Linked DNA regions of Stegostoma tigrinum. The protein of the gene in region 1 purifies or fractionates together with the protein of each later gene. This does not show direct contact. Links are inferred from orthologs where the notes say so. Each region holds a gene or a part of one and is shown on either strand. Other genes may lie near its edges.

The links.
Region 2: the proteins of polycomb group protein ASXL1-like (region 1) and UDP-N-acetylglucosamine--peptide N-acetylglucosaminyltransferase 110 kDa subunit purify together in Homo sapiens (affinity purification with mass spectrometry; 3 studies listed by BioGRID and IntAct, with this or other methods). This does not show direct contact. The link is inferred for Stegostoma tigrinum from reciprocal best matches to the Homo sapiens genes ASXL1 and OGT.

The regions. Positions count from the first base shown.
Region 1 is NC_081372.1:26,306,981-26,314,835, reverse strand, and holds the start of polycomb group protein ASXL1-like, read left to right. Parts: upstream 1-4,845; 5' UTR 4,846-5,229; coding exon 5,230-5,286; intron 5,287-7,855.
Region 2 is NC_081368.1:40,714,697-40,722,239, forward strand, and holds the start of UDP-N-acetylglucosamine--peptide N-acetylglucosaminyltransferase 110 kDa subunit, read right to left. Parts: upstream 3,001-7,543; 5' UTR 2,661-3,000; coding exon 2,624-2,660; intron 1-2,623. UniProt on the Homo sapiens protein: Catalyzes the transfer of a single N-acetylglucosamine from UDP-GlcNAc to a serine or threonine residue in cytoplasmic and nuclear proteins resulting in their modification with a beta-linked N-acetylglucosamine (O-GlcNAc).

The sequences.
Region 1 (7,855 bases):
CTGAGAAGGTGGGGAGACTTCGGAGAAATGTGTACAGATTAGGAGAGTGGGCAATGAAGTGTCAGTTGGAATTCAAAGTAGGGAAGTGTGAGGTTATGCATTTTGGTCGGAAGAACAGAAGCATACACTATTTTTTAAATGGGAAAGAGCTTCAGAAATTTGAAGTACAGAGGATCTTGGGAGTTCTAGTTCAGGATTATCTTAAGGTAAACACATTGGTTCAGCTGGCAGTGAGGAAGGTAAATAAAAAGTTACATTCAATACAAGAAGGCTAGAATACAACAGCAGAGCTGCACTACTGAAGTGTCTGGTCAGACTGCTTTTGGAGTATTTGTGAGTTGCTTTGAACCTGTATTTAAGGATGTGCTGGTGTTGGAGAGCTTCCAGAGGAGGTTCACAGAATTATAGAACATAGAACATAGAACAGTACAGCACAGAACAGGCCCTTCAGCCCACAATGTTGTGCCGACCATTGATCCTCACGTATGCACCCTCAAATTTCTGTGACCATATACATGTCCAGCAGTCTCTTAAATGACCCCAATGACCTTGCTTCCACAACTGCTGCTGGCAACGCATTCCATGCTCTCACAACTCTCTGCGTAAAGAACCTGCCTCTGACATCCCCTCTATACTTTCCACCAACCAGCTTAAAACTATGACCCCTCGTGCTAGCCATTTCTGCCCTGGGAAATAGTCTCTGGCTATCAACTCTATCTATGCCTCTCATTATCTTGTATACCTCAATTAGGTCCCCTCTCCTCCTCCTTTTCTCCAATGAAAAGAGACCGAGCTCAGTCAACCTCTCTTCTTAAGATAAGCCCTCCAGTCCAGGCAGCATCCTGGTAAACCTCCTCTGAACCCTCTCCAAAGCATCCATATCTTTCCGAGAATAGGGCGACCAGAACTGGACGCAGTATTCCAAGTGCGGTCTAACCAAAGTTTTATAGAGCTGCAACAAGATCTCACGACTCTTAAACTCAATCCCCCTGTTAATGAAAGTCCAAACACCATATGCTTTCTTAACAACCCTGTCCACTTGGGTGGCCATTTTAAGAGATCTATGTATCTGCACACCAAGATCACTCTGTTCCTCCACGCTGCCAAGAATCCTATCGTTAATCCTGTACTCAGCTTTCAAATTCGACCTTCCAAAATGCATCACCTTGCATTTATCCAGGTTGAACTCCATCTGCCACCTCTCAGCCCATCTCTGCATCCTGTCAATGTCCCGCTGCAGCCTACAACAGCCCTTTACACTGTTAACGACACCTCCGACCTTTGTGTCGTCTGCAAACTTGCTGACCCATCCTTCAATCCCCTCATCCAAGTCATTAATAAAAATTACAAACAGTAGAGGCCCAAGGACAGAGCCCTGTGGAACCCCACTCACCACTGACTTCCAGGCAGAATATTTTCCTTCTACTACCACTCGCTGTCTTCTGTTGGCCAGCCAATTCAATTATCATGGGAATGAATGGCTTGTCATATGAAGACTGGCTGACAGCTTTGTGTTTGTACTTAATGGAGTTTATGGGGATGAAGGGTGATCTGATTGAAGCTTACAGGAGGTTGGTTAGAATGGGTACGGAGAAGATGTCTCCAATCATCAGAGATACTAGCACCTGAAGATACAGCCTCAAGTGTGAAGGGATGATACTTTAGAATTGAGATGTGGAGGAATTTCTTTCAGCCAGAGAATCGTTAATCTTTGGAACTCAGTGGCACAGAAGGCTGTGGAGGCCAAGTCATTGTGTACATTTAGGAAAGTGATAAAAAGGTTCTTGATTATTAGGGGGATCAAGGATTTATGGGGAGAAGGCAGAAGAATGGGGTTGAGAAACATGTCAGGCACGATTGAAGGGTGAAGCAGACTTGATGGGCTGAATGGCCTAAGTCTGCCAAGTCTGCTTCTACGTTTATGGTCTTATGGTCTGATGCAGCTAGAAAGTTTGAATTCCTATTATCTAAGATATTCTAGTTTTCAATTAGACCAAGGCAAGCAAGGTATATTTTGGAATTACTGTGGAGTTGGAGATGGGTAGAGTTATAACATTTGAAAGGCATCTGGATGGGTATATGAATAAGAAGGGTTTAGAAGGATATGAGCCAAATGCTGGCAAACAGGGCTGGGTCAGATTGGGATGCCTGGTCTGCACGGATGAGTTGGACTGAAGGGTCTGGCTTATGTGCTGCATCACTCCATGTTTACTCTGCACGTGGGTGTGCTTTTATTGGCAAAGGAATACTCAATGCTGACATTGAAAATTAAATTAAAAAATAATATTCCACAGTACTACAGACCAATTTATAAAAAAGAATAATGAATCCCAATGTTAAAAATATTTTATTCGTAAACACTGTTCCTGAATCTTTTCTAGTTTGATTCATCAGTTAAATTGAAAAAGGAGTTTATTGCATGGTGAAACGAAACTGAAAAGATCAGGGACTTTTAGGGATTAAAAACAGAATTTTATTTATTAAATAAAACTATAACAAAATACTAAAATATAACATTTGAAGTCAGCTCTGCTTTCTCTCCACAGATGATGTCAGACCTGTCGAGTTTCTCCATTAATTTCTGTTTTAATTTATATACCTTGTTTTCAAGGTTCGCACAAATATTCTGGATGAAGATTAATGTTTTTGAAATCCAGGTAAACACTGCTCCCCAGACAATAAAATGTGAGGCTGGATGAACACAGCAGGCCCAGCAGCATCTCAGGAGCACAAAAGCTGACGTTTCGGGCCTAGACCCTTCATCAGAGAGGGGGATGGGGTGAGGGTTCTGGAATAAATAGGGAGAGAGGGGGAGGCGGACTGAAGATGGAGAGAAAAGAAGATAGGTGGAGAGGAGAGTGTAGGTGGGGAGGTAGGGAGGGGATAGGTCAGTCCAGGGAAGACGGACAGGTCAAGGAGGTGGGATGAGGTTAGTAGGTAGATGGGGGTGCGGCTTCGGGTGGGAGGAAGGGATGGGTGAGAGGAAGAACAGGTTAGGGAGGCAGAGACAGGTTGGACTGGTTTTGGGATGCAGTGGGTGGAGGGGAAGAGCTGGGCTGGTTGTGTGGTGCAGTGGAGGGAGGGGACGAACTGGGCTGGTTTTGGGATGCGGTGGGGGAAGGGGAGATTTTGAAGCTGGTGAAGTCCACATTGATACCATTGGGCTGCAGGGTTCCCAAGCGGAATATGAGTTGCTGTTCCTGCAACCTTCGGGTGGCATCATTGTGGCACTGCAGGAGGCCCATGATGGACATGTCATCTAAAGAATGGGAGGGGGAGTGGAAATGGTTTGCGACTGGGAGGTGCAGTTGTTTATTGCAAACCGAGCGGAGGTGTTCTGCAAAGCAGTCCCCAAGCCTCCGCTTGGTTTCCCCAATGTAGAGGAAGCCACACCGGGTACAGTGGATGCAGTATACCACATTGGCAGATGTGCAGCTGAACCTCTGCTTAATGTGGAAAGTCATCTTGGGGCCTGGGATAGGGGTGAGGGAGGAGGTGTGGGGGCAAGTGTAGCATTTCCTGCAGTTGCAGGGGAAGGTGCCGGTGTGATGGGGTTGGAGGGCTTGGGGACCACTTTGCAGAACACCTCCGCTCAGTTCGCAATAAACAACTGCACCTCCCGGTCGCAAACCATTTCCACTCCCCCTCCATTCTTTAGATGACATGTCCATCATGGGCCTCCTGCAGTGCCACAAGGATGCCACCCGAAGGTTGCAGGTACAGCAACTCATATTCCGCTTGGGAACCCTGCAGCCCAATGGTATCAATGTGGACTTCACCAGCTTCAAAATCTCCCCTTCCCCCACCGCATCCCAAAACCAGCCCAGCTCTTCCCCTCCACCCACTGCATCACACAACCAGCCCAGCTCTTCCCCTCCACCCACTGCATCCCAAAACCAGTCCAACCTGTCTCTGCCTCCCTAACCTGTTCTTCCTCTCACCCATCCCTTCCTCCCACCACAAGCCGCACCTCCATCTCCTACCTACTAACCTCATCCCACCTCCTTCATCTGTCCATCTTCCCTGGACTGACCTATCCCCTCCCTACCTCCCCACCTACACTCTCTCCACCTATCTTCTTTTCTCTCCATCTTCGGTCCGCCTCCCCCTCTCTCCCTATTTATTCCAGAACCCTCTCCCCATCCCCCTCTCTGATGAAAACGTCAGCTTTTGTGCTCCTGAGATGCTGCTTGGCCTGCTGTGTTCATCCAGCCTCACATTTTATTGTCTTGGATTCTCCAGCATCTGTAGTTCCCATTATCACAAACACTGCTCCCCAAACGTGCTCATTTGTCAACATTCTCCTCAGGCACAAACATGATCAAGCTCCGCCCAAGGTGTCAAGTGGGTCACATCGCCGCAGTGGCACCGACTGCCACCAGGCGGCGGTAGGTGCTCGGGACAGCAGCTGACGGGTCTGCGCGGCATTCCACGGGCGCTCGGGCCGATGGGAATTGTAGTCCACTCTGCGGGAGGCGACCGTCGCAGGGAAAGGGAGCTCGGGCGCGAGTGAACTACAACGTCCGTAATGCATCGCGGTTAGGTTATTGTAGGGGGGAAATGGGTGTGACTAGAGGCCTGGATTGGGGGGGGGTGCAGAAACAAATAGAGCGCCACTCTCAGCCCCCAGAGCGGTTGTTGGAGCCGATCTCCCTCCGCCCCCCCCCAGCTTGGTTAGCGCCAGGGCCTTGTCCGCGCTTATAAAATCATAAATAGGTTTCGGCGGCTGCTCCTTTCGACTGTGCGCCCTTTTCTTTGTACACGGCGTCGTTGATTGAAAAAAATTAATAATAAAACCGGTGAGGGCGAATGGGGGAGGGGAGGGCGAGCGGCTGATGCGGCTAATGACGTCAGTTGCCCTTTGGCCCTGTTTTCATGATGGCCGTTTGCGTCGTTTAGAAGCCCCGGGATCTGCGGAGTGAGGAGAGAGAGAGGGCCGTCCCGAACCGTCCCGTCCCCCCACCCCCTGCCTCCGCCACCACTACACAAAAACACACACACCCACCCATAGAGAGAGAGAGAGAGAGAGCGGGATCGTGCGGAAAACATCGAGCTCTGGTTTTGTTTGCGCGTGTGATTTTTTTTCTCTCGATCGTGTGATTATTTTGTTTGCTTTGGCCTCGCCGCCTTCTGTCCTCCCTCCCTTCCCCCGCGGAAAAAAAAATCATCACTATCACCACCAACAACAACAAAAGGACAGGGAAGCGACACTCGAAGGGGGAAAAAAAGATGAAAGACAAGCAGAAGAAGAAGAAGGACCGCACGTGGGCTGAGGCTGCCCGCATGGTAACTAAGAGCCGTTTGAGATTTTCATTCCCCCATTCAGAACCATCTGAAATGGGTTCATGACCCGATGGGGGGCGGGCGTTCAGCGCTGGCTCCTCTAACAATAATAATGTGGCAATCAAAATTCATCCAGCACATGTTTATCCTCTGTGTGAGTGTGTGTGGATGTGTGAGTGTGAGAGAGATTGTGTCCTGGACGTGTAACCCAACAACTAACTCGCGTCTCTCCCCAGTGCTTTTATTATTTTTGCTTTTAAAAATGTTTATTTTTTTTCCTTCTTCCACCCCCCTGCACAAAGATTGCAGCAGGTTTTGGGGAGATAATTGCATGTACTTCTTTTGCATGTGGTTGGTTTATATGAGGAATACATGTAGGCATTTTAATGCGCATGATGTAAATGCTTACCCGTGACATGGTGAATCTCAATTATTCATGTGTGCATTTTTTCGCTGTTGTTAGACATTTGTATAACGAGCTCATTTTTGGTGTCAGGGAGGAAGGTAGCTCGTAAGCTATTAAAGATACTTTCCCTTATTCTTTGTGTCCCATAATGTGGTGAAATTTAATATGCATTGCATTATTGTAGCCACTGATCCATTTTTCCTTTGGCTTTCTTTGTCTTTAAGAAGCCCATAGTTATACAGACAAGGATTCTTAGCTATAAATGAATTACATACTGTGTACTGTAACTGGTTGAGTTACGTCTGAGTCTTGTCTCCAGTGTGATCATCATGGCATGCTCCCAAGTTGTGAAATTTTGCTTTCCATTTAGCTCTGTTTATGTTTCCATTTGCACCTCTATCATGTAATTTTTTTGAAAATATGCACCTTGTAGAAGTAAAATTGATTGGAATTGCTGACATTTTTAAAAGCATTTATGATTTTTTTTGGTATCATAATTTTGGCCCATTGATGTTGATCATAAAAGCCCTATCTTAAGATTGGGTGGCATGTTTTGTTTTGCCACATTATGTTGTCAATCTGCCTTGGTTTTTTAGTGATTTTACTTTGTAGAAATTTATATACTGCATCTGATCATCTAAACAATTCATTGAGTATCGTTTTGAAAAACTTGGAGTTTAGAAGTTTCAAATAAAATATACAGGTATTGAATAGTATCAGCAGTTACTGTTCATTAAATTAATAGTCTTGGTGCTAAACATTTTAAGTAGCAGGATTGCTAAACATGAATATTGGTTGTCAATTAGGTTGCAGTAAGCATACACTTAGCCTTTGAAAAAAAGCATCCCACTATACTGTAGGTTTTCTAGAAAATTTTATAGATCAGAGTAGTAATTCAATATTTACAACTGTTGTGCTAAAGCTTTTATTTCCCTAACCTTAGTATAGCATCAATTTCAAGGAACCCTTTTTTAATGTTCAGCCAAACATTGGTTACCACTGTGGACCTTATTTAAAGCAGCAACCAAATGTCATTCATTTACTGTACTTTCAAAACTGCCTTATTATCATCACCTCATTAACAATCTAGTGAGTACTCTTGTATCACATAGCTGGAAGTTTTATTGATAAATTCAGTATTTAACTGAGAATGCATTGTGATACTTCTGAGGCAGCAGGAATCGTTTGGCAAAACCAATCATATCTGCAAGTCAGTAATTTCAGTGTCCATCATTTTCAGCATGATGCTTTTATTACCCTTGTCTAAGTCATAATATGATCTAATGGAGAATCCTAGAATCAATGAGTATGTGCAAGAGGCTAAAAAGAAACAACCATCTGTCTTAACTGAAACTTTGCTTGTTTTTTTTTAAGCTTCAAGGAGCAACCATGGTGGAGCTCTTCTGTTGCATCTTTGTTAGGTATTTACAGTTGTCTTATCCTTTTCCTTTCTTTAGGGCAAATGGAAATACAGCATCGGGCATGCATGTGAACACTACTAACTCTACCACAAAGACATGCTTTTGTTTTTTTTACTCTGATGTCTGCAATGGCATCCCTTTCTTTTCAGCTGCTAAAACTGGTTTTGATTGGAATTGCTGCCCATTGCCACTCGTTCTCCATTTCATTTCCTGAGATGACAATGGTAGCCAGTTGCTGTGAATAATAGCACCAGTGTCCAACATGGTGACAGACGTTAAGTTCATTGTAGAAGCTTTGAAATATTTAGTATATTTTTTTGAAAACAAACATCATTTACGTGCTTCCAAAAACTGTGTTTTACACCATTACAGTGGGCTTTGCGTATCACTGGGTTGGATTTAGAGTGGGCAGTTTATTTTCATAGTAAGAAATTCTGACACTGCCTTTTGTGATTGATACCTAAAATCAGGCATTGTTTAAAAGTGCTGCTGCCATTGAACTCATTTTTCTATTGTATCCTAAGTTAGGCAATTTATTGTTTTATAGTTTCAAAATCTAACATTGAAAACTTGAGCTGTATTTCTGTTACTTTGCAGTTGACAGCAATGATGGAAGTTAAGTGTGCTGACCACTTTTGATTTACATGAAGTTGAGCCAGAATTAGCTATCAAGTCAGGGCTAATGGTACTAAAGGTTTATAAACAAATTATACAGAAAGATCAGGAGGGAGGAAAAGAATAGTCA
Region 2 (7,543 bases), on another chromosome or scaffold:
ATTTAAGAATGCTGAATGGCCTGGATAGAGTGGACGTTGGGAACATGCTTTCATTGGTAGGGGTGACTAGGATCCAAGGGCACAGCCTTGGAGTAAACGGAAAACCTTTTAGAACAGAGATAAGGAGAAACTTCTTCAGCCAGAGAGTGGTGAACCTCTGGAATTCACTGCCACGGAAGGCTGTGGAGGCCAAATCACTGAGTACATTTAAGGCTGCAATAGGCAGGTTCTTGATTATCAAGAGGATCAAGGGTTACAGGGAGAAAACAGGAGATTGGGGTGAGGAATTTATCCGCCATGGTTGAATGGCAGAGCAGACTCGATAGGCTGAACGGCCTAAATTCTCTTCCTCTGTCTTATGGTTTTAATCTCTGGAGCGGAAAATCCTAAACATGACATTTTTGTATCTACATGACTACCTTGCTGTCTAAAAATACACTGTCAGGAAATGTTGCCTCTACATTAAGAGTGATAGAATATCCACAATGTGGAAAGTGGCCATTCAGTCCAATAAGTCTGCATCAACCCTCTGAACAGCACCCCACCCTGTGCTCATAATCCCACATTTACCACACCTGAGCCACCTAGCCTGCATATCTGTGGACTGTGGGGCCTGACAGAAACCCATGCAGACATGGGAGAACATGCAAATTCAACATTCAGTCATCCAAGGCTGAAATCAAACCCAGGTTTCTGGTACAGTGAGGTAAAGTGTTTACCCACTGAGCCCCATGATGCTGAATTACATTTACCAATAGATACTAATCCCATTTAACCCTGTGTACAGCTGAATAATGCTGACGGTAGCAAACTCTCCCTTTTCCACCCCATTTGTGCACTCACACCACGATCATTTATTTATCTGACCATATGCTCAGCTATTAGTGAAGTTAGATAATGTGGGATTCAGGGTGAGCTTGCCAATTGGATACAAAATTCGTTTAACATCAGACAGAGGGACATTTCACGGATGGGAGACCTATGACCAGCCCTTTTCCGTAGGGATTGATGCTTGGTCCACTTCTGTTTGTTAATGATTAAATGAGAATATAGGAAGCAGCCTACTACATTAGCAGATGACACCCAGATTGGTATTGTAGTGGTCACTTGCTATCTAAGTCACGAAGAGCTCTTAGTCACTTAGGACAATGGGATGAAGAATGACAGCTGGAGTTTAAGCGGGATAAATGTGAGACTTTGCATCTTGCTAAAACAAACAAGGGCAGTGCTTATACAATTCAAAGTAGGGCCAAGTAGCAGCATTGCAGAACAGAGACACCTAGGGGTTCAGGTACATAATTCTTTGAAGTTTGCATCACATAAATAAAGTGATTGGGAAGATATATAGCATGGTTGCTTTCATCACTCAGACCTTTCACATATAGGTATTGGGATGTCATGTTGAGATTGTACAGGATGTTGGTGAGGCCTCTTCTGGAGTACTGTGCCAGTTCTGGTCTCCCCATTCTCGGAAGGATATTATTAAGCTGGAGTTGGTTCAGAAGAGATTTACCAGTGCATTCCCAGGAACAGAGGTTTAAGTTATTGGAGAGGCTGAATAAGCTATGATTTTTTACCTTTTTACCATTTTACCACAGGTGGTGAGGGGGGGGGGGAACCATACAGAAGTTTATAAAATCATGAGGGCACAGAGGAAGTGAATTGCAACTTGTCTTTTCCCTAAGCCAGGGGATTTCAAGACTGGGGGGGGTCACATTTTTAAGACGAGAGGAGAAAGGTTAAAAATAAAAGACATGAAGGGCTATTTCTCCCCCTTCCCCTCCCCCAGATTGGTTCATGCATGAATGACCTTTTAGAAGAAGTAGATGGATGCAGATACAGTTAGTGTTTAAAAGCCACCTGGGTCAGTACATGAATACGAAATGTTTGGAAGAATACGGACCAAGCACACACAGTGACTAAGATAACAAAGCATGACGCTGGATGAACACCGCAGGCCAAGCAGCATCTCAGGAGCACAAAAGCTGACGTTTCGGGCCTAAACCCTTCATCCGGATGATGTGTGATTTTACAGACTCTATGCTTATTGATAAAGTAAGTCAAATTTTAATTAAAATCATTTATGCTTAAAAGTTAGCAAATAACAAGAGACTGTTCAAAAGTGCCAAAGTATATTGAAACTTGATTGGCCGCTTCAAAAATCCTTAGGCCAATAGGCCAACATACCCAGTTGTACTGATCCATGTTACGATTTCTGCGCTGGATTAATTACGCTTTCATGACACTGATCTCACCGAAACTCACCAGCCAGGTTTTTTTCCTTCCTCCATTGACTTGGTTTCTTTACGCATGAATACCTTTGTGTATGCATCATTGTGATAAACAATATCCAAAGGAACACTAATCTGACCGGTTCTCATACACAATAATAGCAGTACTCTCAACTAAGTAATCTGGGTCGTAACATCCCACACAGGACAGCGGGGGGAAAAATGCAAGTCGGCCTCATGCTTTTCCTACGCGTTTCCTTCTCTTCCGGGGATTCAACCGGATTTGTACTGACGGAACTGCTCCACTCTACTTCAAATCTCGGGTTTCATTTCATAACAATCAAATGGTACCAGCCGAATCTGCATCGATACTCCCCTTCTATGTTTCTCACCTGTGCTGTCTGTTACACCCCCAACCGACGCCGCCATGCTCTCGTTCGGGGTGCAGCTCAATCCAAGCCGCTTCCTCTTTCGGGGCAGGTTTTAACTGGGTTTCGCTTGTGTCACTGTCCCAGTCAATCGATGGCTGAGTGCCGAGGCCTGAATATTCTAACGCAGTCGATCGCGGCAACCTCACGTCAATTTGCCTTCGTCACCACAGTTTGTGTGAAATTTCACAAAAAGAAATATTTACTGCTGCTAATGAACATCGCGCGTTTGTCGGCCGTCAACTCAGTTTCTCTTCTCTCTGGTGTGCAGATGGCGCCCGGAATGAGAATTCTAATCGGGACTACTTTCGCGTCAAAGAGTCTCTCTACTCATAAAAACCCGATCACAATTCCAGAAACGACATAATTCGCAAGTCTTATCGGAAGAGCTTTGTAACTTTATTGAGTTGTCATTACGCATATTCCTTTAGATATTTCAAATTCGGACAGCTTTCCAAATTCATAGGACTCTCGCGGAAGGACCAGACATTAAAACGTGTACTGCACTCATCAATGAATCACAATAGGGTATCACTGCGCATCAGCATTGCGGCGGCTGTGGGGATGGAAGCGCATGCGCTTAAAAACCATTCTGTGGAAAAGTCGAGAATGTTCACGTGAGTTCCTGGAACGATGATCGTGACTATCTTAAGAATTAGTGATAGTTAACTAAGAGCCACGTGGCCTTAAAGGGTGTGATGAAACATAAAAGTGTTTTATTTTAAAATTAAGCAGTTATAGTATGTCGCTCGTCGCTCTTGTTCAGCGTATGAGTATAAATGCAACGTCAAGGCCTGAAGCGATGCGAAGCATGTTATAAAAAAGATTGTTATTTGAGTGGATGTGACAAATTATTTTGCCCACTAATTCCTATATTTATATTGCCTTATAATGTTAAAAGCAGGGTCTTAACATAAGTGATTTTGGTACGAAATTTCTTGTGATCGCTGATAATTTATAATGAAATAATAAGTTTTCTTAAATCATGTTGGTATTATTTTATCTTACACGTGACTAAATGTGGTGGGGGCGTGGGTGGGGTGGGGGTGGGGGTGTGGGTCCAGCCAACTGGTGGTGATAGATGGGCAGTAGTAGTAGGTGTGACCTAGTTTGTTAATGGGAGGGTTCAAAGCAGTTAGTGGTTGGAAGAGAGGTGGCAGGAGATGGGTGGGAGGGTTACTTGAAATTAGAGAACCGTGTTCAGTCCTCTAGGTTGTAGGTGCCCTGGCAGAAGATAAAATGGTGTTCCTCAGATTTGCTTTCTGAATTGTGACACCAAAGGAGGTAGAGAAAGCACGTCAGAGTAGGACAGGAGTGGGCAGTTGAAGTGGATGGTGACTGGCTGGTTAGGTTGACCGTTATAGGCTAGGTCAAGATGCTCGGTGAAACAGTCACCTAGGCTACATTTAGTCTTATCGATTTAAAGAAGACGACATTGGGAGCACCGGATGCAGTAGACTAGGTTGGAAGAGACTGTTTAGGGCTCTGGCTGGAGGTGAAGGAGGTGGTGTTTACAGGTGTTGCATCTTTTACAGTCATAGGTGAAGGTACTGGGGCAGGGTTTGGGGTGGTTAGTGAGCAGTGTGGTGTGAACTAAGGAGCGGCAAAGGGAATGGTCCTTGCGGAAGGCAGAGAGGGGTGAGGAATGTAAGATTTTTTGGATGGTGGGATCTAATTGGAGTTGACGGAAGTGTTTCAGCATGATATGTTGGATGCAGAGGCTCTTGGGGTGGAAAGTGAGGACATGGGAAACCCTATTTTTATGATGTTTTGGGAGGTGGTGGTTTAAAGCTGTGGAGCGGCGAATGGAGGCAACAAGGTGGAGGGCTATCTGGATGAGAGTGGGGAAAAGAACATTACTTGAAAAAAGACAACATCCTGGATGCTTGGGAATGGAACATCTCATCAAAGCACATAAAATGGAGACAGAGGAATTGGGCAAACGGGATGGAGTTTTTGCAGGATACAGATAGGAGATGGTGCAGTCGAGGTAGCTGTGAGAGTCTGTGGATTTATAGTCAATGTCAGTCCGTAAACATGCCAGAAATGGAAACTGAGAGGTTGAGAAATGGGAGGGAGGTATCTGAGATGGACCAAGTGAATTTAAGGGCTGGGTGGAAGTTGTTTGCGAAGTCAATGAACTGCTCCAGTTCACCAAGTGCAGGACGTAGCACCGATGCAGTCATTGATGTAGCAGTGGAAGAATTGGGGAACAGTACCGGTGTATGTACTGAAGAGGGACTGTTCAACATAACCGACAAAGAGGCAGCAGCAGCTGAGGCCTATGCAACACTCCTGTGGATTTGGAGAAAGTGTGAAGAATTGAAGGAAAAGTTATTTAGGTTAAGAACTAGTTCGGCTAGGCAGAGGAGGGGTCTGGATGGGTCTGTTTGAGAGGAAAAAAACTGAGGCCTTGTAGGCTGTCATTATGGGATACAGACATATGTAGGAATTGCATGTTACACGCTGTGATAACAGGTTATCATTCTCATACACTGACTCTCTCTCCCTACTACTCCCAAATCTGCCAAGTATTCAGAGAATGCTGTCATTTGACCCATCAATTAAGTACAAAGCAAATCAGTGATTTATTTTCACTCTATCTTCAATTCTTTGAACCTGAATCAACCTTCTTGCATTCAATTTGCTAAGTCCAAACCAGGCTCACGACATTTAACTATGTACTTGGACTTTGTGAAATCCATGACAAATAATGACATTTTCTGAGGGAACATATTTTGATGCATCTGCAAGGGCAGCACAAATTGAGTATGGTCAACAAGTAAAATATGTTGAATTTTAAATTAAACACTGACTGATCAGCTCTGTATGTAATCGAGTAGCTGCAGGTGGAGTCTGGACAGTGTTTACTAGCATTTACCCTCTCTTTAACTTATCCCTACTGCTGTGCTTGCTTATGGTCCCTCACTCTTTCCTGCTGGTACAGACAAAACAACAGTGAACGGCAGCGAAGAGTTTAGTGTAGGAGTAACAGAGATAGCAAGAACCGCAGATGATGGAGTCAGAGATAACACAGTGTGGAGTTGAGGGAACACAGCAGGCCAGGCAGCAGAGGAGCAGGAAAGTTGATGTTTTCTTCAGAAATGGGGAGGGGGAAGGGAGCTGGGAAATAGATAGAGAGGACGATTGGGCTGGGGAAGGTAGGTGGGATGGTGATAGGTGAGTGTAGGTAGGGAGTGGTGGCTAGGTGGGAGAGAAGGTGGACAGGTTGTGTCAGGTCAAGGCAGCAGGGATGAGAGGGAGGGTCAGACATGGCTTGAAGCCTGGGGTGGGGAGATTTTAAAACTGGTGAATTCTGTGTTTAGGCCATTGGGCTGTAAGGCTCCCAAGGTGAAATGAGGTGTTGCTCCTCCAGTTTGTGGATAGTGTCATTGTGACACTGGAGGTGGTTCAGGATGGACATTTCAGTGGGAAGGGGAGTTAAAATGGTTGGTGACTGGAAGGTGTTGTCATTTGTCACGTACAGCGTGCAGATGCTCTACGAAATGGTCTGTGACGTACAGAAGGCCACAGCGGGAGCCATGGATACATTAGACCAAGTTGACAGAAGTACAGGTGAACCTCTGTCTGATATGAAAGGTTTGTTTTGGGCCTTGAATGGAGGTTTAGGGCAGGTGCAGGAGTTCCTGCAGTTGCAGGGAAAGGTGCCAGGTGTGTGGGGTTAGTGGGTAATGTGGAGTAGACGAGTGAGCTGCAGTGAGCGATCCTCACAAAAAGCAGATGGGGTGGGGAGGGAAATATCTCTTTGGTTGTGGAGTCAGATTGTAGGTGGCAGAAGTGGTGGAACGTGATACACTGGATGTGGAGGTTGGTGGGCTGATAGGTGAGGAGAAGGGGGAATTCTGTATTTTTGTTGGGAGAGGGGGGAGGGGTTTTGAGGGCAGAAGTCCAGGAAATGTGAGAGATGCAGTTGATGGCATTTTTGATCACGGGGGGTGGGGGGGCCTGGGGTGGAGATGTTGCGGGCCTTGAAATTGGAAGACATCTGGGATGTTTGGGAGTGGAACACTCCATCTTGGGAGTAGATGCAGAGGAATTGGGAGTAGGGTTTGCACTCTTGCAGGAGGGTGGGTGAGAGGTGGTGTAGTCTAGATAGCCATGGGATTCATTGGGCTTGAAATACATGTCAATTTCGAGGCAGAAATGGAGACAGAGGGGTCCAGGATGGAGAGGGAAGATGGACCAGGTAAATTTGAGGTTCAGGTGAAAGGTGTGAATAAATTTTCTGAACTACTTGTGGGAGCATGAGGCAGCACAATACAGTCACCTATGTAGCAGAGGAAGGGGGTGGGATAGTGCCAATGTAACAGTGGAAAAGGGACTGTTCCATGTATCCTATGAAAAAGCAGGCATAGCTTGGGCCCATGAGGGGGACTAGTTGGGCCTGCGGGAGATGAAGAAGCAGAGGACTTTTAGGTCATCTGTGTGGGGGATAAAAGTGTATAGGGACTGGATGACCACACCGAAGATGAGGTGTTTTTTTTGGGGGGGGGGGGGGTCGGGAGGACAGATTCAAGGTAAGCAGAGATGAATTCAGCATAGCAGTAATTCTTCTTTGCACCACTCCTACGGTGTATTATTAGTTGCAGGCTGAAGCAAAATTGTATATTAGATTTCTGAGTGAAACCTCAGCATCAGTGCCAAATGTTTGTGCTGAAATTTTGAAGGGATGCACTAATCCCAATATAAGCATTTTCCAAATGTCATATGGACAAAAAAACCTGTCATTTATGTTAACAATGAAACGCAACAAACTTTCATTGTTTGCAGGGTTAAGGACACAGACAACAGATATCACAGATACAACTTTATTTAACTGTCCTGTATACCAAGATGGCCAGACAGGGTGAATCAGAGAGAAAA